4 linked regions of the Saccharomyces cerevisiae S288C genome follow. Changing the gene in region 1 together with any one later gene gives a genetic interaction. Each region holds a gene or a part of one and is shown in the gene's direction. Other genes may lie near its edges. The genes, in order: ACH1, CEM1, OAR1 and LAT1.

What was found.
Region 2: mutations in ACH1 (region 1) and CEM1 together harm fitness more than expected from each alone (negative genetic interaction), as found in Saccharomyces cerevisiae (3 studies listed by BioGRID).
Region 3: mutations in ACH1 (region 1) and OAR1 together harm fitness more than expected from each alone (negative genetic interaction), as found in Saccharomyces cerevisiae (3 studies listed by BioGRID).
Region 4: mutations in ACH1 (region 1) and LAT1 together harm fitness more than expected from each alone (negative genetic interaction), as found in Saccharomyces cerevisiae (4 studies listed by BioGRID).

Annotation. Positions count from the first base shown.
Region 1 is NC_001134.8:189,465-198,004, forward strand, and holds ACH1 (acetyl-CoA hydrolase), read left to right. Parts: upstream 1-4,657; coding exon 4,658-6,238; downstream 6,239-8,540. Other genes in the region: PEP1 (type I sorting receptor), read right to left, coding at 1-2,119; mitogen-activated serine/threonine-protein kinase FUS3, read left to right, coding at 2,987-4,048. UniProt on the Saccharomyces cerevisiae protein: Presumably involved in regulating the intracellular acetyl-CoA pool for fatty acid and cholesterol synthesis and fatty acid oxidation. It may be involved in overall regulation of acetylation during melatonin synthesis.
Region 2 is NC_001137.3:275,228-283,948, reverse strand, and holds CEM1 (fatty acid synthase CEM1), read left to right. Parts: upstream 1-4,322; coding exon 4,323-5,651; downstream 5,652-8,721. Other genes in the region: VHR2 (Vhr2p), read left to right, coding at 1-1,244; THO1 (Tho1p), read right to left, coding at 1,583-2,239; glycerol-1-phosphatase GPP2, read left to right, coding at 3,267-4,019; FCY22 (purine-cytosine permease), read right to left, coding at 5,785-7,377; FCY21 (purine-cytosine permease), read right to left, coding at 7,796-8,721. UniProt on the Saccharomyces cerevisiae protein: Possibly involved in the synthesis of a specialized molecule, probably related to a fatty acid, which is essential for mitochondrial respiration. Is essential for oxygen uptake and the presence of cytochromes A and B.
Region 3 is NC_001143.9:332,180-340,295, reverse strand, and holds OAR1 (3-oxoacyl-[acyl-carrier-protein] reductase (NADPH)), read left to right. Parts: upstream 1-4,138; coding exon 4,139-4,975; downstream 4,976-8,116. Other genes in the region: ASK1 (Ask1p), read left to right, coding at 1-628; MDM35 (Mdm35p), read left to right, coding at 854-1,114; DNA damage-responsive RNA polymerase-degradation factor DEF1, read left to right, coding at 1,543-3,759; TMA19 (Tma19p), read left to right, coding at 5,381-5,884; NUP120 (Nup120p), read left to right, coding at 6,327-8,116. UniProt on the Saccharomyces cerevisiae protein: Involved in biosynthesis of fatty acids in mitochondria.
Region 4 is NC_001146.8:489,966-493,471, forward strand, and holds LAT1 (dihydrolipoyllysine-residue acetyltransferase), read left to right. Parts: upstream 1-1,557; coding exon 1,558-3,006; downstream 3,007-3,506. Other genes in the region: lysine--tRNA ligase MSK1, read left to right, coding at 1-151; ribonuclease H2 catalytic subunit RNH201, read left to right, coding at 352-1,275; TOM7 (Tom7p), read left to right, coding at 3,401-3,506. UniProt on the Saccharomyces cerevisiae protein: The pyruvate dehydrogenase complex catalyzes the overall conversion of pyruvate to acetyl-CoA and CO(2).

The DNA of each region.
Region 1 (8,540 bases):
TTGGTTTTTTACATTTATCACCTTTAACTAGTTGCAATGGTTTTACAGGCACAGTTTTTTTCTTTGTCTTATCACATACGTCAGAGAGAACGATTAGGTTGTAGTCTGGTACGCATTTCCCGGTCGCGTCCCTAACAAATTCAAACGCGCATTCGTAATCAGCCTCGGTACACTTGTCACAAGCAGTCTCAAATAATTGTAAGTCTTCAAAAACTTTCTTCACCAAGCACTGAGCGTCCTGTTTTCTTCTTCTGATCTTGTACTTGACTCCATTGACACACTTCCCCTCAGCTAAATTCCAATCCTCGAAATCATTTTCTTCGCATGTCTTATCATTAAAGGCTGTTGAAAAATCAATTGCATAGATGAAATTCGTTGTACCATCCATATGCGCCAAAGTAAACCCATTTAGAATAAATTTAGCTCCAGATCCGTCGGGCGTTGTATTCATTACTTCATTTGGGTAGATAGTAGTTTCTAGCTGATATTCGGTCCAAGTTTTACCTTGGTCTAAAGAGTAATAAAATTCGGATTGAGGATCGTCGTCTTCATCCGCATTATACGGTATAGCCACAATAACATTTCCGTAATCACCAACAGCGTATAAACAAGGAAAATCAAAGGCGAGTTTCCATGTTAAGCCACCATCCCTAGAAATAAAGGTTCTTTGATCTCCCCAGTCGAAGACACTACCATCGCCAACAATACCTGTTGTCATTAGAATTCCGGCGGTTGGAGTGGAACCCTCCCGTGTGTAAAACATATTTTGAAGCGAACAATTCTCAAAATCAGTAATATCACAGTCGAATGAGTCTGCGTTATCTGGATCAACAACTTTTAACATTGTCCATGTGAGGCCATTATCAACAGATATTTTGGTTACCCCCTTACTCTTTACTCCTTTGGCTTTTCCTTTACGGTTACGACGCCTAGATAGAGGGTAAAGTGAGGCAATCATCGTTCCTTTCAAGTAAGTAGGTTGATAAAAATTAATATAACCAAACACCTCATTTGCGGTCCATGGGATGGGGGAAAATTTTAACCCTTGTGAGTCGGAAATTAAAATTTCAGACACGATGCCCTTATCCTCCTCTTGATCACTTCTTTCCCTACTCATGGGCAAGATAATTCTTCCCATAGCGTCCTCATATATTTCTCCTTGCATAGAATGCCTTAACTGAGTAGGCATGTAAGCCATTTTAAAGTTTGACAGATCATTTGATACCCACACATCCATGGAAGACATATCATTATATCTGTCGCCCTGGGTTAAGACAACCATGTGAGATTTCAATATCCTGTAACCATTGACGACCTTATCTTTAAATTGGTCAAATTCTTTTAGTGATTTGCCCCAGTCCGTAGTTAGGACCAATTTACTTTCGGTGTAAGGAGAACTAAACTCATCCATAATAAGCTGCATATTTTGAAAAAGACAGATTATTGAGGTATCACTACTTTCAAGGTCAGAATCTTTGCTGGTCTTGGCAAAGCCACAATCAGAAATGCTGATAGGACTATTTTCGTTCCTTTCTAGAGAAGACTTGATCTCAGAAAAGGATTTTCCACCATCATTACTTGCAAAAACCTTGTCTGTGCAACGTGTAATATTAAATATTTCAAATTGTCCCTCTTCGTCCCCCGAATTCTCTTCATTGTCATTGTTTACTTCTGTTTTCTCACAATAGTTGCACTTTGCAAGAAAATAGTTCTTATTCAAGGGATGGGTTTCTATATAGCATTCACGAGGTGAAATACTTTCTCCGGAGTCAGGTAGCGTTATACGCTCCCATGACTTACCTTGATCATTGGTTATATAAAGGTACGACCCATTCATTGCCGTTGCAACGGCTCTGTCATGTCTATTGAAGGGGTCGATGTATATCCAAGTGATTTCGCCTTCAATGCCTTCAACTTTTTCCCATGTTTCACCATCGTCAAAGCTTATAGTAACGGAGGTGTCTTGTTTTCTAATTAAAGTGTTGGAATCATCAAAGCTTAATATATCAAATGAATCTTGCGCGATAGTCTTTGTCACTTTGGGGGTGAATTCTTCGGCATTAGTTAAAGGAATGAGAAGTAAGGCCCAAAGAGAATAGACAAAATGAAGTAATATCATAACGTGTGATGACTACTGGACACTTCAGGGCTTTTCCAGATATACAGAGCTTTATAATACAATCTAAGGGCAAAATAAAAAAGGAAAAAGAGTACGGTAGTTGAGAAAAAAACCGGAAAGGAATTGCTTTAAAGATCTTAGTAGAATGAAATAGTACCACCTACTCGCCTCCTTTTTTTGTGCTTCTTGAGAGGTCTTTTGAGCTGTTGCATCATGCTGTTATTTAGAGGTTATTTTTTGACCTTGGTTTTTCCTTCTTTTCGCCGTACTCAGCCCGAGAAAAAAGCAGCGACTGCACTAAACTAGAGGAAAGAAGGCTTAAAACATCACGCGATCCATATAAAGACCCGAGTAGTTGGAGAGATTGACTACTTGACGTTCAAAAGAACATACATAAGGATAAATTCGTTCGGACTTTTTAACTTACACACATCTTTTGGTGTTCATTCAAGGGGCGGTAGTGCTTGTAGTCCGCACAGGCGGATACTTTTTAGTTTGGGAAGAGTTAACTGGAGAGGGCAGTTTACTTTCACATACTCTTTTATCTTTCTGAAGTAAAATGTGATGTACCTACAAGCAATGCATAAGCTCTTGAGTTTTAGATCTGTTTCACCCTGGAACTCAAAATTCTTTTACTCGAAATTTTTACTTTTTTTTTTTTTGTTTCTGCATTCTCTCAGATTTTAGATGATGCGGTTTTTTACAGGGCATTGAAACAATTGCAGAAAAGCAACATACTAATATATCATAACTTTTTACTCTTGCCTCTCAGAAACTATATATACGTTGTAATCATTTTCTTTCTTCTAATAGCTAGTTCGTTTGAACTACAAGGAAATAAGGCAGAGAAAAAGAAAGGAAAATAATATGCCAAAGAGAATTGTATACAATATATCCAGTGACTTCCAGTTGAAGTCGTTACTGGGAGAGGGTGCATACGGTGTGGTATGTTCTGCAACGCATAAGCCCACGGGAGAAATCGTGGCAATAAAAAAGATCGAACCATTCGATAAGCCTTTGTTCGCATTACGTACGCTGCGTGAAATAAAGATCCTGAAGCACTTCAAGCACGAAAATATCATAACAATCTTCAACATTCAACGCCCTGACTCGTTCGAAAACTTCAATGAGGTCTACATAATTCAAGAGCTAATGCAGACAGATTTACACCGTGTAATCTCCACCCAGATGCTGAGTGACGATCATATACAATATTTTATATACCAAACCTTGAGAGCAGTGAAAGTGCTGCATGGTTCGAACGTCATCCATCGTGATTTAAAGCCCTCCAACCTTCTCATAAACTCCAACTGTGACTTGAAAGTATGTGATTTCGGTTTAGCAAGAATCATTGACGAGTCAGCCGCGGACAATTCAGAGCCCACAGGTCAGCAAAGCGGCATGACCGAGTATGTGGCCACACGTTGGTACAGGGCGCCAGAGGTGATGTTAACCTCTGCCAAATACTCAAGGGCCATGGACGTGTGGTCCTGCGGATGTATTCTCGCTGAACTTTTCTTAAGACGGCCAATCTTCCCTGGCAGAGATTATCGCCATCAACTACTACTGATATTCGGTATCATCGGTACACCTCACTCAGATAATGATTTGCGGTGTATAGAGTCACCCAGGGCTAGAGAGTACATAAAGTCGCTTCCCATGTACCCTGCCGCGCCACTGGAGAAGATGTTCCCTCGAGTCAACCCGAAAGGCATAGATCTTTTACAGCGTATGCTTGTTTTTGACCCTGCGAAGAGGATTACTGCTAAGGAGGCACTGGAGCATCCGTATTTGCAAACATACCACGATCCAAACGACGAACCTGAAGGCGAACCCATCCCACCCAGCTTCTTCGAGTTTGATCACTACAAGGAGGCACTAACGACGAAAGACCTCAAGAAACTCATTTGGAACGAAATATTTAGTTAGCCATCATTATCATTAAAATATCAACCCGAAGAACAATGTATACATATACATATACGTACACATATACATATGTACATATGACATACGTATTAGCCGCTGAGGACGCGGACGTATAAAAGGACAATACTTATATGGAGCTAAGGGGAGCAGTTACGCAACTCCGTGATCGCGCGCCACGGGCCGTCGGCGGCTGTTAATTGAAGAAAAAAAAAATGAAGAACCACAAGGGGTGATCCATATAGGTGACTAGCATCATCCCCTGCGACGCGCGGCCCGCCGGGCCAAAGGCGGGCAATGCGCGCTGCTGATTGGCCTCGAGGACAACGCCCTCAACCACATCCGCAACAGCCAATCCCATCGGAGCGTCAAACTACCAAAGTAGTGATTGTATGGATGACCACTGTATTGTGGACGGTAAGCGCTTGCTGGAGCAAATGTGTAATCAAGTTGCTGTGTATATATAGACGTTAGATGTGTTCTACCCCTTCTTTTGTCTTGTGCCCACCGGGCTTACATTAGCACACAAAGCAGCAAGAGACCGTCTTACTAGACAATAGCGGCAAAACAAACAACACATTTCTTTTTTTCTTTTTCACATATTGCACTAAAATGACAATTTCTAATTTGTTAAAGCAGAGAGTTAGGTATGCTCCCTATCTGAAAAAAGTTAAGGAAGCTCACGAGCTTATTCCATTGTTCAAGAATGGTCAGTACCTTGGGTGGTCCGGTTTTACAGGAGTGGGTACTCCCAAGGCAGTGCCGGAGGCACTGATAGATCACGTGGAGAAGAACAATTTACAAGGGAAGTTGAGATTCAACCTTTTTGTTGGAGCTTCTGCTGGTCCAGAGGAAAACCGTTGGGCTGAACACGACATGATCATTAAGAGAGCCCCTCATCAAGTAGGGAAACCCATTGCAAAGGCAATTAACCAGGGTAGAATTGAGTTCTTTGATAAACATCTGTCCATGTTCCCTCAGGATCTGACATACGGGTTCTACACCAGGGAAAGAAAAGACAACAAAATCCTTGATTATACTATAATCGAGGCAACGGCCATTAAAGAGGACGGGTCTATCGTCCCAGGTCCCTCTGTCGGTGGTTCTCCAGAATTCATTACAGTCAGTGATAAAGTGATTATTGAGGTTAACACGGCTACGCCTTCGTTCGAGGGTATTCACGATATAGACATGCCCGTGAACCCACCTTTCAGGAAACCATACCCATATCTGAAAGTGGACGACAAGTGTGGTGTTGACTCCATCCCGGTTGATCCTGAAAAGGTTGTTGCGATTGTGGAGTCCACCATGAGGGACCAGGTCCCACCAAATACGCCCTCTGACGACATGTCCAGGGCTATTGCAGGTCATTTGGTCGAGTTTTTCAGAAACGAGGTAAAACATGGTAGGCTACCTGAAAACCTGCTGCCTTTACAAAGTGGTATAGGTAACATTGCTAACGCTGTCATTGAAGGGCTTGCTGGCGCCCAATTCAAGCACTTGACTGTATGGACGGAAGTGCTGCAGGACTCGTTCTTGGATCTTTTCGAGAACGGATCTTTGGACTACGCCACTGCTACTTCCGTGAGATTGACTGAAAAGGGTTTCGACAGAGCCTTTGCAAACTGGGAAAATTTCAAACACAGATTGTGTTTGAGATCTCAAGTTGTCTCGAACAATCCGGAAATGATCCGTAGATTGGGTGTCATCGCCATGAATACCCCAGTAGAAGTTGACATTTACGCGCACGCCAATTCTACAAATGTGAATGGTTCCCGTATGTTGAACGGGTTGGGTGGATCTGCTGATTTCTTGAGAAATGCAAAGTTGTCCATCATGCATGCCCCCTCTGCAAGACCAACTAAAGTAGACCCTACCGGTATCTCTACCATTGTTCCTATGGCCTCTCATGTAGATCAAACTGAGCATGACCTGGACATCTTGGTCACTGACCAAGGTTTGGCGGATCTAAGAGGTCTATCGCCTAAGGAAAGAGCCCGTGAAATCATCAACAAGTGTGCTCATCCCGATTATCAAGCTTTGTTGACCGATTACTTGGACAGAGCAGAGCATTACGCTAAAAAGCACAATTGCTTGCATGAACCACACATGCTAAAGAATGCTTTCAAGTTCCACACCAACTTAGCTGAAAAGGGTACAATGAAGGTCGACAGCTGGGAACCAGTTGACTAGTGTTTGTGCGCAAACCGAGAGATGAGTATTTAACAAAAAAAAGAAAGGAAATGATATGATTATGATTTTATGTTTATAAAGCTTTTATCCAATGCGTTGTTTTTTCTTGCATATTTATACTTTTTGCGCTCATGGAGGGAGTTAATCAATACGCATGACGTCTAGTTAATTCACAGGTAGTACTGTATATTTATATGTTTACACAATAATTATGTATTAAGTAGTGATTAGTAAAAAAAACTAAGAGGTTGAAAGTCATCAACCCTTATATTAATTTCAACGAATTTCGCTGATGACGTCAGGGTAGTTCTCTTGCTTAGGTCAATGTAAAAATGCCAGGGTAATACAAAACCAAGCTCTGAACCGCCCAACTTATCTGTAATGATGCATGTATACCTTACAATGATTTTTTTTCTCCTATTATGGAATTAATATTGGAATCCATGTTTGTGAACAGCCTTCTCCGCAATTTAGCTTCAAGCTAATAAGTGGTTATTGTTTGCGCGCGCTTGAAGGCAAGGATCATCGCTTTTTTCTTCTCACCATTGAATTTAAGGGACGCCGATTAGCATAATACACTTATCAACAACAACCGGATGTGTGTTATCTATCAGTGGTGGAAGGATTGGTAAGCAATTTGGTTTGATCCAGAGGACTAAGAAAAAAAAAACGGCTCATCAAAGAAATTAGTTCAATTGAGTGGTTTAATAGACAAAGTTTGGAAAGATAACAGAAGTAGAAAAAGTAAAAATCTACACATGACACTCAACACATGTGGACAGCAAGAGGGCAGATAGATAAGTCGACACTGCAAATTGTTGTGTATGTAATAGCCCTGGGTGCAGGTTGGCCAAAACTGTTCAACAGCTCGCCCATTTGAAGGTTCAACAGGCCGCCAGAAATGTTCAACAGATTGTGCCGCTATGATACGTAACTTATATATAGCAGCGTGTATAATATTAGGACCATAATAAAATGAATGGCATGAAAATAACGACAACAATCTCAACAGCAAACAAATTCACAATACAGTCATGGGCAGCATAAACTTCATATTTGCTTTACATCTTTTAGTTGTTTTATTTTTCATCATCGCCATCCCTAGCTACGCCATGTATCCATTTTTACCATTTATCCTTACATCGCTCGTATTTGCTCGTTCTGATAACTCTAATAATCGTTATTGACAAGTTGGTTCAAGGTCAAAAATTTTGTTATTACAATCACTGAGCAATACGCTGTTTTTCCATAGTATGGAGGCATTTTTTTTTCTGTGAATGTACGTATATTTTACTGTATACTTCATTAATATTTGGGAAATAGACATATTTTAAGATTATTTTTTAGATCCTGTTTACGTAAAAGACAATAATATAGGTGTGTAAATTATACCCTAAGTTCTTCTCAAGGATGTAAGACTTCCACAAGAGAACCGGCAATTTTATATGATAATACTATTTTTTCTTTGGCTTTACATGTAGTCGTTTATTATCCTATTGAATCAGCAATTATCACATCTCAGCTTTCATTACTTTTGATGACTGTTTCTCAACTCCATGTCATTCTTACACTGTGTATGATACTAATCGATAGATGATCGTTGATTATTCCTTCAACAGATTCTGTCTAAAAAATGGTAAAACTGTTGCTACTAATCAATATCATATAATTGATCCTTATTCAACAATATCTACAACGAAAAAGGAGATTAAAAAAATGCATGCTAAGTAAATGAAGGTTTTCATCTGTCCCTGATGTTTTTCTTCTTCAAGCACGTTAACCAGTAATCAAGGTCTCTTGGCCCAGTTGGTTAAGGCACCGTGCTAATAACGCGGGGATCAGCGGTTCGATCCCGCTAGAGACCATTTTTTTGCAATTCAAATAACGTCGTTTATTTTTTATATAAAAATAAAAATCAAAAAGAATTGCGCAAGCCCGGAATCGAACCGGGGGCCCAACGATGGCAACGTTGGATTTTACCACTAAACCACTTGCGCTTATTTCTTGGAAGTGTTGTATCTCAAAATGAGATACGTCAGTATGACAATACGTCATCCTGAACGTTCATAAAACACATATGAAACAACCTTATAACAAAACGAACAACATGAGATAAAACCCGGCCTTCCCTAGCTGAACTACCCAAAAGTATAAATGCCTGAACAATTAGTTTAGATCCGAGATTCCGCGCTTCCACCACTTAGTATGATTCATATTTTATATAATATATAAGATAAGTAACATTCCGTGAATTAATCTGATAAACCGTTTTGACAACTGGTTACTTCCCTAAGACTGTTCA
Region 2 (8,721 bases), on another chromosome or scaffold:
AAAAGTTGGTTACCGCTGCTGTTCAATCGGTGAGAAGAAACAGGAAACGTTCCAAGAAAAAATTATTAGACTCTAAGAAGAAAATAGCCCGTGGTAAAGTTCAAAAAATTCCTTTGTCTCCCCCCAGCTCAAGTAATATGGGGTCTTGTTCAGCTTCCAATGCATCAAGCTCTGACGAAGAAGCCAGCGTGAAGGAAGAACCTGCTGAGCACGCTCTTCCTTCTCTTAATACTATAACATCACAAAAATTGTTACCTTATCCGAATGGCCGCACTCTTCCACCTGTACCAACTCAAGTTCGCTCTTTACTTAAGAAGAACGCATCTCTTCTTCGTGATCCATCGGCACCGTATGCGCACGGCGGCGATGAAAAATTACAAAAGTTTGATATAGAAGATCAGCCTCTAGAAAGTGAACAAGAATACGACTTTATTGCCAAATCAATAATTGTTGAAATTGTAAATAATGCTATTCCACTACCTGAACAAATTCAAAGAGATAAGTTCATTAGACCAAATTTAACGAAAAAAAAAGGGTGCCAAAGCAAAGTTGTAATATCCAACAACTTGAGAAAACTCATCCTGTCAAAGATACATAACTCAAGGACGTGCTTGGAGATGTCTAAGGATGAAAGAAATTTGGATTCTTTTGCTAATCTAGAAACGCTGGGCAAAAATTCACTAATGGCTTCCATTTCCCTTGTGGTAGAAAACAGCTTTTCACATTTACCGTCTTCTACTAAGCAATATCTTACTGAACGGCTGTCATCAATCGAATTTTTGACTATTCTATCGCAAAGGCTATTTATGCCCGCTACACGTCAACTATTCGCTGACCTATCACAAGAAAAAATTCAGGTGAGAGTGCTGAATCTCATACTGGGATCTCTTGTCAAAGATTATGGGTTTGATGCATCTTTGGCACCAATCAACGAAATTATCTATCACATGACACTCCATCAATATCCCTTGGTTTGTAGTAATAAACAGTCCAATCCAATGAGGCCACACTCCACATCTGAGGTCTTGAGTGCACATTCTTCAACGAAAGATGCAAGCACTCCCGGTAAAGAAGAGCCTCGAGTGACGAGGTCAAGCACATCGGCAGATAGCACTATCATTACATTGCCTTCAATTGAAGTCCCAAATACGTACGATGATGACAGGTTAAAGATGTTGAGCGCGATATCGTTGCAGATTGAAAATTCCACCTTTTCCAAACCATTCAGTACTATTTCAAAATAAATAGGCCCGCTTGCATCATCCCCACCTGCATTACTATGAACTATTTATCATAGCTTATTTTTCCTCTATCATCATTGTAACTTGTACAAGAATGTTCAGTCTGTAAATCTCGCCGCTCATTCTCTACTAGCACTTTACAACGTTGACAGCCACTGTATGTGTAATACAGTGAACCGCCGACTCTTCGGATTTAATAACACAGATTTATTTAGAATAATCTACACATGTTTACGTATGCAACAAATTTTGCACCTTCATATACAAACAACTGCGGTCGTTTAAAAAGTGGGAAAGAACCGAAACTAGAATGAAAAACTCCACCAAAACGGCTTGAGCCTTTATCTTCTGTAACCAGAGCGGTTGCCTCTCCTGTTTTTACTTACTCTGGAGCGGTTGTTTGCATTTTTGTTTCTATTTTTAAATTTACCGTTATTGCCACTTTCAGGTTCATTTTTCCTACTGACAAGGCCCAGTTCTTCAGCCAACTTGCTATTCAAGTCAACACCAAACTTCTCCACACGATTTATCTGTCTTTGTAAAGAGTCAATATCCGCTTGATCTTGACCGAATTTGTTAGCGCGGTGCAGTTTCTTATTTAAAAGATCCAATGCTTTGGCCTTAATTTCTTCTGGTGACAAAGCGGGAGCAGCAGTGGAAGCAGCAGCTTGTTCGTTCTCTGAAGCAGTAGCAGAAGGTCCATCAGAGGGCTTTTGAACGTCCTTATTTTCCTCCTTGGGTTCGTTTGTTTCTTTAGGCTCGCTTGAAACTTCCTTTTTTTCAGTAATGTTCTGGGAGGCTGGTTCTTCTATCGCCGCAGGTTCTGACCCTTGTTCCTGGTTTTGTTCCTGTGGAGAAACTTCACTTTCACCCTTTGATTCTTCATCGTCCTTTATCAGTCTTTGAACTAGTTCATTCTTCAATCCGCCTACAGACAGATTTCTCTTGGTCAGTAAATCTTTCAATTGAACAACAGTAAGGGAAGAATAATCTGCCATTGTAAGTGCTTGTGCTGGCTCCAAGAACAATTCTAGTGGTGAAAAAAATTCTATTCAATATACAGATATCTTTGTAACTTCTGAAAGTAGCGCATCCTGAAAGGACACATTTGAAGAGTCACTATTCAACTTTCTTCTCCCATTCAGCATTATCACGCCCTTCCACCAACGCTGGTTGCATTGTGTTTTCTTACTTCGGCTAGAGACGCCGGGTAATAAAATATATATCCTCGAATGAACCGCTGGCCTCGGCCATTTTCATATGACTTCATATCATTAATATGGCCGTAGGTTAAGCAATGCTACGTGAAAGATACCAATTCCAATCGTCTGCTTTCTCTCAAGAGGAGACTTTGCGTTCTTTAAAGGAGCAGAGAAAGAGGGAAACGGTGAAAAACTTCAATATTGATAACATCCATCAGCGTCTAAATTCCTATGCCTCCTTCGAAAATGGTCAATGTTATACCCTCTCCCATTAGATATTACCGTAGCGTACGTATTTGGCCCTGTCCTTTGGGGTTTGGCCTTCTCAAGTATTTTGGCACCTCGCCCTGAACGAAAAGCTGGCACTTTGTCCCCAGCCAAACTCTTCTCTCTAATATCGTCTTTAACGACAAGGTAAAAAGATTTCTGCAGTGTTCCGTCTGCGTCATCATCTGTGCCCCACAATCCGCGGCGTTTCCGTGTAAGCCGTCAAGTGAGGACTTTTCGGATGCTGAAAGAAAGTACGCTCGGAAAAACTACATAGCTGCCCCCCTAAACGGGCCTCCCACGTGACGTAAAGTAGGAATAATAAGAAGCCAAGTCGTTTCTTTTTATTCTAAATAAGTTCGTTTCTTTTGATGTTGTCATTTTCAGAAATATATATATATGCGCTTAAATACACAAGCTAAAACAACATAGTTAGGATTGCCAAAGGTTTCTTTTCTACTCAATTTGGTCTAACTCTTTTCATATTAATAGCGCCAACCAGCTAGTGTTTACCAGATCAGTGGAAAAACATAAAACAATAAAAACAATATTCGGAATGGGATTGACTACTAAACCTCTATCTTTGAAAGTTAACGCCGCTTTGTTCGACGTCGACGGTACCATTATCATCTCTCAACCAGCCATTGCTGCATTCTGGAGGGATTTCGGTAAGGACAAACCTTATTTCGATGCTGAACACGTTATCCAAGTCTCGCATGGTTGGAGAACGTTTGATGCCATTGCTAAGTTCGCTCCAGACTTTGCCAATGAAGAGTATGTTAACAAATTAGAAGCTGAAATTCCGGTCAAGTACGGTGAAAAATCCATTGAAGTCCCAGGTGCAGTTAAGCTGTGCAACGCTTTGAACGCTCTACCAAAAGAGAAATGGGCTGTGGCAACTTCCGGTACCCGTGATATGGCACAAAAATGGTTCGAGCATCTGGGAATCAGGAGACCAAAGTACTTCATTACCGCTAATGATGTCAAACAGGGTAAGCCTCATCCAGAACCATATCTGAAGGGCAGGAATGGCTTAGGATATCCGATCAATGAGCAAGACCCTTCCAAATCTAAGGTAGTAGTATTTGAAGACGCTCCAGCAGGTATTGCCGCCGGAAAAGCCGCCGGTTGTAAGATCATTGGTATTGCCACTACTTTCGACTTGGACTTCCTAAAGGAAAAAGGCTGTGACATCATTGTCAAAAACCACGAATCCATCAGAGTTGGCGGCTACAATGCCGAAACAGACGAAGTTGAATTCATTTTTGACGACTACTTATATGCTAAGGACGATCTGTTGAAATGGTAATCCTCTAAAATCGAACATATTTGAGTAATAATTCTCAGATACAGTCCTATTCTATATTCGCCACAAAACAAGTAATGATGCTAAAAAACGACACATTTATAAAATCACATCTTATTGATTAAATAAATACGTAGATAGATTTTTTTTTTTAAAACATATAGTGTGCTATTATTTCTGACTCTGTCTCATCTCAGAAAAATAAATGATAAAAAAGGAAGTAAAATCCTTAAACGTTATCAGGTTATTAGCAACTTGAAAGTGACAGGAGCCACAACGGATTAAAATTTAATTTCTAGTAAAGAAATGTCAAGAAGAGTGGTTATCACAGGATTGGGCTGTGTAACGCCGTTGGGAAGATCATTAAGTGAGTCATGGGGGAATCTGCTCTCTTCCAAAAATGGACTCACACCAATCACATCTTTGCCCAACTATAATGAGGACTACAAACTCAGAGAAAAAAGTATCCCATCAACGATAACAGTGGGGAAGATTCCAGAGAATTTTCAAAACGAAAATTCAGCCATCAATAAACTGCTGTTCACTAGCCAGGATGAGAGAAGAACCTCAAGCTTTATCAAGCTAGCACTACGTACAACTTATGAAGCGCTTCACAATGCTGGTCTCTTGAACCCAAATGATATAACCATCAATACATCTCTGTGCAATCTGGATCACTTTGGTTGCCTGATAGGTTCTGGTATAGGATCCATTCAAGACATATACCAAACTTCTCTACAATTCCATAACGACAATAAAAGAATAAATCCATATTTCGTCCCTAAAATCCTTACAAATATGGCAGCTGGTAATGTTTCCATCAAGTTTAACCTTAGAGGATTATCCCATAGTGTTTCCACAGCATGCGCAACAGGTAATAACTCCATTGGCGATGCATTCAATTTTATTCGGTTAGGCATGCAAGACATCTGTGTCGCCGGTGCAAGTGAAACGAGTTTGCATCCGTTAAGTTTAGCAGGTTTCATCAGAGCAAAGTCGATTACTACAAACGGGATCTCTAGACCCTTTGATACACAACGTTCTGGATTCGTACTTGGTGAAGGATGCGGAATGATTGTCATGGAATCGCTAGAACATGCTCAAAAGAGAAATGCAAACATAATTTCTGAGCTCGTGGGCTATGGTTTAAGCAGTGATGCCTGCCATATTACCTCCCCTCCTGCTGATGGAAATGGTGCCAAAAGAGCAATAGAGATGGCTCTAAAAATGGCTAGATTAGAACCAACTGATGTTGACTACGTCAATGCACATGCTACATCAACTTTACTAGGCGATAAAGCAGAGTGTCTGGCAGTAGCCTCAGCACTCTTACCAGGAAGATCCAAAAGCAAGCCACTGTACATATCCAGTAACAAAGGTGCAATTGGCCATCTTTTAGGTGCAGCTGGCGCCGTAGAAAGTATATTTACAATTTGTTCCTTGAAGGATGATAAGATGCCGCATACCTTAAACCTGGACAATGTTCTGACTCTAGAAAATAACGAGGCCGATAAGCTACATTTCATAAGAGACAAACCTATTGTGGGAGCTAATCCGAAGTACGCATTATGCAACAGCTTCGGATTTGGAGGAGTTAACACATCTCTTCTCTTCAAGAAATGGGAAGGGAGTTAATATTATTAAACTTATATATATATCCCATTATAATCGTTTTTGAATTATATGCTATCTATTCGAATGTCGAGATTTATCCATTAAAACCAATCATTTCAATGATTAGCAAAAATATTAATCAATTAACATTTAGTCATCGACCGAAATATTTGAGTTCTAAAGGTCTTACAATGTTATAGATGATGAACGCCCAACTTCCGCCTAACTCGAACCCAATGTCACCGCCGTACTCTCCGATCAAACGACTGATCTCACCAACCCAATAAGTTTGGCACATACCCAACGCTACTCCAAAGGCACCAGCAATTAAGGCAGCAGTACCTGCGATACCGATAGGTAGATGCTCCCAATTATCCCAATCATCAATATTGTAAGCACTGAAGGAACGCCTATAAATAAAATGCTCTGAACATGCAATGGCAATATAAATAGCCAAATAATAACCAATGGAATCCATAAAATTCTCCATAAAGCCGTCAAAGTAATAGGTAGCAGGGATGGAAATACCTAAAGTGGCAGCATTACCTGCCATTGTCCAGACTACTCTTGGTATTTTAGCCAAAGGTGCCCACAAAGCTTGAGCGGATAAAGCGACAGTGTACATTCCAGGGACATTATTAGCAACAGTTGAAAGAGCCAACAAAACACAGCAGAATTGACCGAATCCGTTTAGAGAGTTAGGGACCAGGATAGCATATATGACACCACCCATGGCGTTTTTATCATAATATGACTTCCAGGTTGGGTCATTAAGGGCCGCCATACCGCAAGCAGCACCAAGAATCATGGTGAAAAATAGAGGGAACGCTAGACCGGCTACTACGGAAAAAAAAATTTTGTATTTACTTGTGGTCTTTGGCATATAAACAGTGTAATCTGCTGCATAAGTCGCCCAACCCGCAGCTGACCCAAAAACAGATGAACCAAAAGAAAGAACACCACCTGCAGTAGTTGCACCCCCTACCCATTCACCACCTTTAAATTTTCCTGATCTCGATAGTTGGGCAATAATGACCAAAAAGGCAGCAAAATTGGGTACCCACGACCATTTTTCGTATGCATGAACGACACTGTAACCAAAAAAAGTCACAAGCACGGTACCACCAGCAATAATCAAACAACCTGCCCAAATAGGACAGTTGTGCCCAGAGCCTTCATTCACCATATTCAAAAGTTGAGCAGAAACAGAAATATTTAAAACACACCAACCGACACAAGCAATGACATTAACAAGAGAGAAAAATCTTGCTGTGATGTTACCAGCCAAATATCTCGATAGAATCATCTGTCTTAGGCCCAGTTCTACCCCAAAAAGTGAGAATAATGCAACAGGGATCAAACCCAAAATATTGAAAAAAATGATAACTAAAACACTTTGGCCGAAATTTAGGCCAAATACTAGAGGACCCAAGGCACCTACGGAATAGGCTACAATCACCATATTAGCTGAAAACCATATAGTGGCGGCATTGAGTATCGAGTCATCATTTTTTTCATCTTCTGTAACTGGTTCAATACCTTTCGTCTCAGCATTTAAAGCAGCTGCAATCCTATTGAAAAAGGACGGCTTATTATCAATGAATTCGTTGGTTCTATGCAATTCTACACCCTCATAGTATACATCAGCGGCGGAAGATTTTGTGTCCAGAGCTCCAGATTCGAGGTCCCTTAGTTCACTCCCCGCATCTTTTATATCGACCATTGACATGGCTAACTTTTCTGGCATACTTTTCTTCGATATTTTAGTCACCTTCTGAAACACCCTCCATTTCAATCTGACAAGCGTATCTTATAACAAACAATTTGGTTATCATGTTATATATTTGTCTGGTTTACAAATCACCAGTGCAAAAACAGACTACATTTATGTCATCTGCATGCATTAGGCTTTCAACAGACTAGAAATCAAAATTTATCAACTAAACAGAAATAATGCAACGTCTCATAAAGTATTTACTGGCGATCGGAGTAACTCTTAGAACCACAGTCACGTGATATGCTTATCAGAATTGCGTTATCAACTCAAATGAATGAGCCGTGATAATTTAATTAACATACATGCTATTTTTTAATGATTTGCATACTAGAGCCATTTATGTTACATTACAAAGACTAAAATAGCGAAACATTTAAATGAACTTTCGTTAACGACCAAAGTACTTGAGCTCAAAGGGTCTAGCAATGTTGTAAACTATAAATGCCCAACTTAGTCCTAACTCGAATCCAATATCACCACCGTAGTCTCCGATCAAACGGCTGATCTCGCCAACCCAATAAGTTTGGCACATACCCAACGCTACGCCAAAGGCACCAACAATTAAGGCAGCAGTACCTGCAATGCCGATAGGTAGACGTTCCCAACTATCCCAATCATCAACATTGTAAGCACTGAAGGAACGCCTATAAATAAAATGCTCTGAACATGCAATGGCAATATAAATAGCCAAATAATAACCTATGGAATCCATGAAGTAATTCATGAAGGTAGAAAAATAGTAGCAGGCAGGAATGGCAATACCCAGTGCGGCCGCATTGCCTAATAAAGTCCAAATAACTCTTGGGACTTTCGCAAGAGGTTCCCACGTGGCTTGCACCGATAAAGCAATAGTATACATGTTGGGAACATTATTAGCGATAGTGGACAGAGACAATAACACGCAACAGAACTGACCGAATCCGTGAACAGAATTAGGGACAAGAACGGCAAAAGTTAAACCACCTATGGAATTTTCGTCATAATACGTCTTCCAGGCTGGATCGCCGATAGCTGCCATTGCTACAGCTGCACCAAGTATCATAGTAAAATATAATGGTGTTGCTAACCCAACTACAAGCGAGAAAAAAATTTTATACTTGTTCGTTTTCCTTGGCATATAAACGGTATAGTCAGCCGCATATGTTGTCCAGCCTGCAGCAAACCCATAAACTGTTGATCCAAATGAAAGCACGTTACCTGCTGTAGTAGGACCAGATGTCCACTCCCCAAGGACAAATTTTTTAGACCTTGCCAAACGAGCAATTATTACCAAAAAAACGGCAAAATTTGGTACCCACGCCCATTTCTCGTAAG
Region 3 (8,116 bases), on another chromosome or scaffold:
AGTCAAAAGCCTTGTGAGCAATAATGTTGGTATATTTCCTACATCCGCTGAAGAGGCGAGTAGGCAGTCCCAGACAGACAATGGGCCTAACGAGGCAGATTCAGCTGTACATGTCAACCGGGATGTCCATTCTATGTTTAATAACGACAGTATAGATGATTTCCACACAGCGAATATAACATCCACGGGACAGATATTGAAACTTCCGGACTCTAGCGACGAAGATACTGGTTCAGAGGCGGTGCCTTCAAGGGAGCAAACAGACCTTACAGGCGAGGGTCATGGTGGAGCTGATGATGAGCAAGATGAAAGTACAATACAGAGACAAAGCCGCAAAAGAAAGATTTCGCTACTTTTGCAGCAGCAGTACGGGTCTAGTTCCAGCATGGTACCGTCTCCGATTGTGCCCAATAAAATGCGGAAGCAACTGGCTCATGAAGAACATATTAATAACGACGGCGATAACGACGATGAGAACAGCAATAATATAGAGAGCTCGCCTCTGAAGCAGGGGCACCACCACCCGAAGGGACAAGCGGATGATAACAACGAAGGGCCCGATGAAGAAGAGAGTACGAAAGAAGTACCAAAGCCTGGGACCATCATTCATTTTTCTACGAATAGATAGAATAAATAAGTACATACAATTTTTACTAGTGATGAATATCAGAACGCAGGGTAATGGGCCCGCTATATTTTTTCTTCGATATAGGGAGAGCCACATTCAGAATATTCAGAGTATTTGCATGTAGAAATTTATTCTAAGTGCGCCAGATATATGCCGGGAGAGGTCATTAGAAAACATCTGTTTGTGTTTTAACTTGAATTACAATAACAATAATACCAGTTTTATATGGGGAATATAATGTCAGCTAGTTTTGCGCCTGAATGCACTGACCTGAAGACGAAATACGATAGTTGTTTTAATGAATGGTATAGCGAAAAATTCCTGAAGGGAAAATCCGTTGAGAACGAGTGCTCAAAACAATGGTACGCTTATACTACATGTGTCAACGCAGCTCTCGTCAAACAAGGTATTAAGCCTGCTCTAGACGAAGCTAGGGAGGAGGCGCCGTTTGAAAATGGCGGCAAACTAAAAGAAGTTGACAAATGAAGTATATATTTTAGCACAGAATGTGCATTATTCAACATGTAAATACTAATACTGCAATATCGACTTATAATAATGTATAGTGATCCGTATATTAATAGATCTGTTTCAATTCTTTACCTTTTTAGGATATCCGTCACCCGTGATTCCGTCGGAGGTGAGCACTCGCCCAAATAAATAACGGGAAATGGTGGCAAAAAGTAGTGGCGGGAAAAGGAAAAATTTTCGTTCTCTCCCATATAAACGTTTCATTCCTTTTCCTAAGTCTTTTACAGTAATTTCAGAAACATTCGTATTTTATATTTGATCTTTTGAAGCTACAAGAAAAACTCTTACCAATTACCCCAAAAAAATCACCATCATAAAGTACTTACATATTTATTTTTGTTTGGTCGTTTTCTCAATATAATCTACATCATCATATATATATAATGTCTACACAATTTAGGAAGTCTAATCATAATAGTCATAGTAGTAAAAAACTAAATCCTGCGCTAAAGTCCAAAATAGATACGCTTACAGAATTGTTCCCTGACTGGACGAGTGATGATTTAATTGATATAGTTCAAGAATATGATGATTTGGAAACTATAATTGATAAAATTACTTCCGGCGCAGTGACAAGATGGGATGAAGTAAAGAAACCTGCTAAGAAGGAAAAATATGAAAAAAAGGAGCAACAACACTCATATGTCCCTCAACAACATTTGCCAAATCCAGAAGATGATATTACATATAAGAGTTCTAATAATAGCAATTCTTTTACTTCTACAAAGCATAACAGTAGTAACAATTATACTCAAGCCAGAAATAAGAAGAAGGTACAAACACCACGAGCTCATACAACCGGGAAACATGTTAATCTCGACAAGGGGAAGCACGTACCATCCAAGCCTGTTTCAAACACTACATCGTGGGCAGCAGCTGTTTCTGTAGATACTAAACATGACGTTCCTCAAGATTCAAATGATAACAATAATGAAGAATTAGAAGCACAAGGGCAACAAGCGCAGGAGAAAAATCAAGAAAAAGAGCAAGAAGAGCAACAACAGCAGGAAGGGCATAATAACAAAGAAGAACACAAACAAATAGAGCAACCTTCTTTATCTTCAAAGAAAACAACTTCTAGGACATCTGCTTCACAACCAAAGAAAATGTCGTGGGCTGCAATTGCTACACCAAAGCCAAAGGCTGTTAAAAAGACCGAGTCTCCTCTTGAAAACGTTGCTGAATTGAAGAAAGAAATAAGCGATATTAAGAAGGATGACCAAAAGTCTGAAGCTAGTGAAGAAAAAGTTAATGAACAAGAAACATCTGCACAAGAACAAGAGGAGGAGACTGCTGAACCTTCTGAAGAAAATGAAGACAGAGTCCCTGAAGTGGACGGAGAAGAAGTCCAAGAAGAAGCTGAAAAAAAGGAACAAGTAAAAGAAGAGGAACAGACAGCGGAAGAGCTGGAACAAGAACAAGATAATGTTGCTGCTCCAGAAGAAGAAGTTACAGTTGTTGAAGAAAAGGTTGAAATTAGTGCTGTTATTTCAGAGCCTCCAGAAGATCAAGCTAATACTGTACCTCAACCACAACAACAATCCCAACAACCACAGCAACCACAGCAACCACAGCAACCACAGCAACCACAGCAACCACAGCAACAACAACAACCACAGCAACCACAACAACCACAACAACAACTACAACAGCAACAGCAACAGCAACAACAACCAGTACAAGCTCAAGCTCAAGCCCAAGAAGAACAATTATCTCAAAACTACTATACTCAACAACAGCAGCAACAATACGCTCAACAACAGCATCAGTTACAGCAACAGTATTTGTCCCAACAACAACAATATGCTCAGCAACAGCAACAGCATCCACAACCTCAATCACAACAACCTCAATCACAGCAAAGTCCACAAAGTCAAAAACAAGGGAACAACGTGGCTGCCCAACAGTACTACATGTATCAAAACCAATTTCCTGGATATTCTTATCCAGGTATGTTTGATTCACAAGGATACGCTTACGGTCAACAATATCAGCAACTTGCTCAAAACAACGCTCAAACTAGTGGTAATGCTAACCAATATAATTTCCAACAAGGTTATGGTCAAGCAGGCGCGAACACTGCTGCTGCTAATTTGACTAGTGCTGCCGCTGCTGCTGCCGCTTCTCCAGCTACAGCTCACGCCCAACCTCAACAACAACAGCCATACGGTGGCTCATTCATGCCATACTACGCCCACTTTTACCAACAGTCATTCCCATATGGTCAACCTCAATACGGTGTAGCTGGTCAATATCCATACCAGTTACCAAAGAACAATTACAACTATTACCAAACTCAAAACGGTCAGGAACAGCAAAGTCCAAATCAAGGTGTTGCCCAGCATTCTGAAGACTCTCAACAGAAGCAATCACAACAGCAACAGCAACAGCAACCTCAAGGTCAACCCCAACCTGAAGTTCAAATGCAAAATGGCCAACCTGTTAACCCACAACAACAAATGCAGTTCCAACAATACTATCAATTCCAACAACAACAGCAACAAGCTGCTGCCGCTGCCGCTGCTGCTGCCCAACAAGGTGTACCATATGGCTACAACGGTTATGATTACAATTCTAAAAATTCAAGAGGTTTCTACTAATAAGGGAGAAGTAGAACCTCCCACATAAAAAACGAAATGGGGAATAAAATACAATGAATTTAAATACACATTTTATTACCACTATTATGTTTTACTTTCTTCAATGTTTGGGCAAGGATTCCATATCCTTTTGATGATGTCATATATCATTTAAATTTTGCATATATATATATACGTACGTAAATAATAAAAGGTATATATATGTTGTGTTATCTATCTAGCTAGCTGTGTCTTTATTTTGCGGGGTTTTGGAAATGCCACTTTTTCTGTTTTATATATCACAGCGTCAAAATTTCCGCCGTTACTGTTTGCAACTGATGAGAACTATGGAATACACATGAGTACATTGGTATAGACGTGGGAGAAGAAAAGTCTGGAAATGCATTATTTGCCTGTTGCGATAGTAACAGGTGCCACTAGGGGTATAGGCAAGGCAATATGTCAAAAGTTATTTCAAAAGGGTTTAAGTTGCATTATACTTGGGTCTACTAAAGAAAGTATAGAGCGCACCGCGATAGATAGAGGCCAATTACAATCGGGATTATCATATCAGCGGCAATGTGCTATAGCAATTGATTTTAAGAAATGGCCTCACTGGCTTGACTATGAGTCATATGACGGTATCGAATATTTCAAAGATAGACCGCCCTTGAAACAGAAATATTCCACATTGTTCGACCCATGTAACAAATGGTCAAATAATGAACGCCGCTACTACGTAAACTTATTGATTAACTGCGCAGGCTTGACTCAAGAATCATTAAGTGTAAGAACCACTGCATCTCAAATTCAGGACATAATGAATGTTAACTTTATGAGCCCTGTGACGATGACAAACATCTGTATTAAGTATATGATGAAGTCGCAAAGGAGATGGCCGGAACTCAGTGGTCAATCTGCTCGACCCACCATCGTAAATATTTCCTCCATTCTACACTCCGGAAAAATGAAGGTTCCAGGTACATCTGTTTACTCCGCCTCTAAAGCCGCACTGTCCAGATTTACAGAAGTTTTAGCTGCAGAAATGGAACCAAGAAACATTAGGTGTTTTACGATATCTCCAGGTTTAGTCAAAGGGACCGATATGATCCAAAATTTGCCAGTGGAGGCTAAAGAAATGCTGGAGAGAACCATTGGGGCAAGCGGTACAAGCGCACCCGCTGAAATAGCGGAAGAAGTCTGGTCTCTATACAGTAGAACTGCTTTGGAGACGTAAAAGAAAATCGAAACAAATAATAGATTTGTGTCTGTTCAATGTGTATATCGATGAGCTCAGTGAACACATTTTCACATCACGTTTCTTTTTTTTCTTTTTTCCGCTAAGAAAAATTTTCCAGAATTTTTCAGAGGCAAAACAAAACTCATCGATTTCGCACGCATTTCTCGTAGAATTGATATTTTTTTATTTTTTTATTGGTTTTTTTTTTTTTTTTCACTTTTTTTTCTTCCTTTCATGATATTTATAAGGAGAAGTATTTCAATTGGGACTTAAAAAAAAATTTTATTTTGGTTAATGTTTTCATTCAATGGTTTACTACTTTCATTTTAGCTTTTTAACAATTTTCTTTCTGGGGTCTCAGTTGCGGTTAGCAGATTAACACAGAACATACTATAGACAAATATGATTATTTACAAGGATATCTTCTCTAACGACGAATTGTTGTCTGATGCTTACGACGCTAAGTTAGTTGATGACGTTATCTACGAAGCCGACTGTGCTATGGTCAATGTCGGAGGTGACAACATCGATATCGGTGCTAACCCATCTGCTGAAGGTGGTGACGATGATGTTGAAGAAGGTGCTGAAATGGTCAACAACGTTGTCCACTCTTTCCGTCTACAACAAACCGCTTTTGACAAGAAGTCCTTCTTGACCTACATTAAGGGTTACATGAAGGCTGTTAAAGCTAAGTTGCAAGAAACTAACCCAGAAGAAGTTCCTAAATTCGAAAAGGGTGCTCAAACTTACGTCAAGAAGGTTATTGGTTCTTTCAAGGACTGGGAGTTCTTCACTGGTGAATCCATGGACCCAGATGCCATGGTTGTCATGTTGAACTACCGTGAAGATGGTACCACTCCATTTGTTGCCATCTGGAAGCACGGTATTGTGGAAGAAAAGATCTAAGTCTAGCGAAATTAGAAAAATTTTCGTATTTTGTATTTGAATTTGAGAGTAGGACTCCCCTTTCTCATTTTTAATGTATATGTAACCTCTCTCTCTTTTTTCTCTGCATCAACTTTTTAGCTTCTATTCTTTGATTCTATAGGTATCTAAACTTCCTAATTACTTCTTAACACGCATTAGGACGTTTTTAATTATTCTATGATTTTATTAAGACACGTTTATCAATTGCCGTAGATATGTATAGTTCATCAATATTTTCTTTTCCATTACCCTACAGAACTTTCATGTTTTTTGTTTTCCTGTCTTTTTCTCCAATTACGTGAAAAAAAAATTGAATTGAAATAGCATGAGAAGCTGAGAAACAAGTAGAAATTGACGAAATCCAACGTTCATAAGCATTTTTCAAGAGGTCGCAATTTCACTCGTACACAACTGACCTATTATGGCATGCCTCTCAAGAATTGATGCAAATTTGCTCCAATATTATGAAAAACCTGAACCCAATAATACGGTTGATTTATACGTCAGTAATAACAGTAATAATAACGGGCTGAAAGAAGGAGATAAGTCCATCTCTACACCAGTTCCTCAGCCTTACGGAAGTGAATATTCCAATTGTTTGTTATTGAGTAACTCTGAGTATATCTGTTACCATTTTTCCTCAAGATCAACATTGTTGACATTTTATCCTTTGAGTGACGCATACCATGGGAAGACAATTAATATACACTTACCAAATGCTTCTATGAATCAGAGATACACTTTAACGATACAAGAAGTGGAACAGCAATTACTGGTTAATGTTATCTTAAAAGATGGTTCGTTTTTAACGTTACAACTACCCCTAAGTTTCCTATTTTCATCGGCCAACACTCTCAATGGAGAGTGGTTTCATCTCCAAAATCCCTACGACTTTACAGTTAGAGTTCCTCATTTCCTTTTCTATGTATCACCCCAGTTCTCAGTTGTTTTTTTGGAAGATGGCGGTTTGTTGGGTTTAAAAAAAGTTGACGGCGTACATTACGAGCCTTTACTATTCAATGATAATTCATACTTGAAAAGCCTAACGCGATTTTTTTCTAGGAGTTCTAAATCGGATTACGATAGTGTGATTAGTTGTAAATTATTCCATGAAAGATACTTAATTGTGTTGACTCAGAATTGCCACTTGAAAATTTGGGATTTAACTTCATTTACTTTAATACAAGATTATGATATGGTTTCACAGTCAGATTCAGACCCAAGCCATTTTAGAAAAGTGGAAGCTGTAGGGGAATACCTTTCCTTGTATAACAATACTCTAGTTACATTGTTGCCTTTGGAAAATGGGCTTTTTCAAATGGGCACCTTGTTGGTTGATTCAAGCGGTATTTTGACTTATACTTTTCAAAATAACATCCCCACTAATCTTTCAGCTTCTGCTATTTGGTCAATTGTAGATTTAGTTCTAACGAGACCATTGGAGTTGAATGTCGAGGCTAGTTATTTAAATTTGATCGTTTTATGGAAAAGTGGCACTGCTAGCAAGTTACAGATACTAAACGTAAATGATGAAAGTTTCAAAAACTATGAATGGATAGAATCAGTTAACAAATCCTTAGTAGATTTGCAATCCGAACATGATTTGGATATCGTTACAAAGACTGGAGATGTTGAGAGGGGTTTCTGTAATTTGAAATCAAGATATGGTACCCAAATTTTTGAACGTGCACAGCAAATATTGAGTGAAAATAAGATTATTATGGCTCATAACGAAGATGAAGAATATTTGGCTAATTTAGAAACAATATTGAGAGACGTAAAAACCGCATTCAACGAGGCTTCTTCTATAACACTTTATGGCGATGAAATTATTCTCGTCAATTGTTTCCAACCGTATAATCATTCCCTTTACAAGCTGAATACTACTGTGGAGAATTGGTTTTATAATATGCACTCTGAAACTGATGGTTCTGAATTGTTCAAGTATTTAAGGACATTGAATGGTTTTGCTTCTACTTTGTCAAATGATGTTCTTAGATCCATTTCTAAGAAGTTTCTTGATATAATAACAGGAGAGCTGCCTGATTCTATGACTACCGTAGAAAAATTTACGGACATTTTCAAAAATTGCCTAGAAAATCAATTTGAAATCACAAATCTAAAGATTCTTTTCGACGAATTAAACTCTTTTGATATACCCGTTGTTTTAAATGATTTAATCAATAACCAAATGAAGCCTGGTATATTTTG
Region 4 (3,506 bases), on another chromosome or scaffold:
CTACCAGTATGTTGAGACGATGAAATACGGTATGCCTCCAGTAGGTGGCTTTGGCCTTGGCATAGATAGATTGTGCATGCTATTTTGCGACAAGAAGAGGATAGAAGAGGTTCTGCCCTTTGGCTGTGTGGATGATGTAAACAGGCAGTAAATTTTGCGACGCCTGCCAATGCTTTTGTAAATAAATCAGACATATACTGTAAATAATTAGAATGGCATTTAATTTTTTTTTTTTCTCTACACCAATAAACTACGCTACGCGAAAAATCCAATATAAATATTCAGTTATAGCTAATGAGAGTGTCGAAAAACCTTGAAAACAACTACTGCACACCAAATTGATACGATTAAATGGTACCCCCCACGGTAGAAGCATCCTTGGAGTCTCCTTACACTAAGTCGTACTTTTCACCTGTCCCAAGCGCGCTCTTGGAACAGAATGACTCTCCAATAATAATGGGTATCGATGAAGCTGGCAGAGGGCCCGTATTAGGGCCAATGGTCTACGCAGTAGCCTATTCTACACAGAAATATCAGGACGAAACTATAATCCCTAACTACGAGTTTGACGACTCTAAAAAACTTACAGATCCCATCAGAAGAATGCTGTTTTCCAAGATATACCAGGACAACGAAGAACTAACCCAGATCGGCTACGCAACTACGTGCATCACTCCGTTGGATATCTCTAGAGGAATGAGCAAGTTCCCACCGACGAGAAACTATAACTTGAATGAGCAGGCGCACGATGTCACAATGGCACTCATTGATGGCGTGATAAAGCAGAACGTGAAGCTCAGTCACGTGTATGTGGATACTGTTGGACCACCAGCGTCCTATCAGAAGAAACTGGAGCAACGATTTCCTGGTGTCAAGTTTACGGTCGCCAAGAAGGCAGACTCGCTCTACTGCATGGTCAGTGTGGCGAGTGTCGTTGCAAAAGTGACCAGAGATATACTAGTCGAATCCTTGAAGAGGGATCCCGATGAGATCCTGGGTTCTGGATACCCCTCCGACCCGAAGACAGTCGCATGGCTGAAGCGCAACCAGACAAGTCTTATGGGCTGGCCCGCCAACATGGTAAGATTCTCATGGCAGACATGCCAGACTCTGTTAGATGACGCCAGTAAGAATAGTATCCCTATCAAGTGGGAAGAACAATATATGGACAGCAGGAAGAACGCCGCACAAAAAACCAAGCAATTGCAGCTCCAGATGGTCGCTAAGCCTGTTAGAAGGAAGAGGCTGAGAACCCTAGATAATTGGTACCGGTGATCACCTCCAGTTTGCACATACTATATATCTTCATGTAATACTACATATGTCATAACTTCAATAACTCATACAAGTCATCTGCTACTATGCTTTGCCGTTTCTACTATCCGTGAAGCGTGACCGGCCCTTCTCACCCCCCGTGTTACGCAAAGAACAACAAGAGGTCGAGACAACCAACCGGAACGACTAGAAGAGAGGCTGTTACGTTTCCTGTTTGTTCACGCTCAACATCTTCCATTGCTGTAAACTGCATCCAGTAAAATTAATAGTTATTAGCGTACTATGTCTGCCTTTGTCAGGGTGGTTCCAAGAATATCCAGAAGTTCAGTACTCACCAGATCATTGAGACTGCAATTGAGATGCTACGCATCGTACCCAGAGCACACCATTATTGGTATGCCGGCACTGTCTCCTACGATGACGCAAGGTAATCTTGCTGCTTGGACTAAGAAGGAAGGTGACCAATTGTCTCCCGGTGAAGTTATTGCCGAAATAGAAACAGACAAGGCTCAAATGGACTTTGAGTTCCAAGAAGATGGTTACTTAGCCAAGATTCTAGTTCCTGAAGGTACAAAGGACATTCCTGTCAACAAGCCTATTGCCGTCTATGTGGAGGACAAAGCTGATGTGCCAGCTTTTAAGGACTTTAAGCTGGAGGATTCAGGTTCTGATTCAAAGACCAGTACGAAGGCTCAGCCTGCCGAACCACAGGCAGAAAAGAAACAAGAAGCGCCAGCTGAAGAGACCAAGACTTCTGCACCTGAAGCTAAGAAATCTGACGTTGCTGCTCCTCAAGGTAGGATTTTTGCCTCTCCACTTGCCAAGACTATCGCCTTGGAAAAGGGTATTTCTTTGAAGGATGTTCACGGCACTGGACCCCGCGGTAGAATTACCAAGGCTGACATTGAGTCATATCTAGAAAAGTCGTCTAAGCAGTCTTCTCAAACCAGTGGTGCTGCCGCCGCCACTCCTGCCGCCGCTACCTCAAGCACTACTGCTGGCTCTGCTCCATCGCCTTCTTCTACAGCATCATATGAGGATGTTCCAATTTCAACCATGAGAAGCATCATTGGAGAACGTTTATTGCAATCTACTCAAGGCATTCCATCATACATCGTTTCCTCCAAGATATCCATCTCCAAACTTTTGAAATTGAGACAGTCCTTGAACGCTACAGCAAACGACAAGTACAAACTGTCCATTAATGACCTATTAGTAAAAGCCATCACTGTTGCGGCTAAGAGGGTGCCAGATGCCAATGCCTACTGGTTACCTAATGAGAACGTTATCCGTAAATTCAAGAATGTCGATGTCTCAGTCGCTGTTGCCACACCAACAGGATTATTGACACCAATTGTCAAGAATTGTGAGGCCAAGGGCTTGTCGCAAATCTCTAACGAAATCAAGGAACTAGTCAAGCGTGCCAGAATAAACAAATTGGCACCAGAGGAATTCCAAGGTGGGACCATTTGCATATCCAATATGGGCATGAATAATGCTGTTAACATGTTTACTTCGATTATCAACCCACCACAGTCTACAATCTTGGCCATCGCTACTGTTGAAAGGGTCGCTGTGGAAGACGCCGCTGCTGAGAACGGATTCTCCTTTGATAACCAGGTTACCATAACAGGGACCTTTGATCATAGAACCATTGATGGCGCCAAAGGTGCAGAATTCATGAAGGAATTGAAAACTGTTATTGAAAATCCTTTGGAAATGCTATTGTGAGGTTAGAATGAAAATAAAATTCGCCAGTAAATGCGTATCTTGGAGAAAATATCAATTTGTTATTTTGTATATATAAAAAATTAAAAAAAAAAAAAAAAAAATACTCAAATACTCAAATACGTATACATTATACTGAAATACTTCGCTTGTCTTCGAATCTAAATCCTCTCTCTCTTCTGTCTCAAAATGATATAAATAAATCACGTCAAACGGTGCGTCAACATCTTTGTTTTTTCACCTCATGTGGAATTGGTTGAAATTAACAAAGGAGTGGGATATAGGATATAACGCATAAAGTTTAGCATACTACTTTCGTATATTATTGTTCGGTGAAAGAAACTAGTTCCCTCTTATCTCTCAATATTTGCCAAAATTAGCTTTTAACAAATAAACCATGAGTTTCCTACCATCTTTTATCTTAAGCGATGAATCTAAAGAACGTATTTCCAAAATTTTAACTTTGACTCATAATGTAGCACATTATGGCTGGATCCCATTTG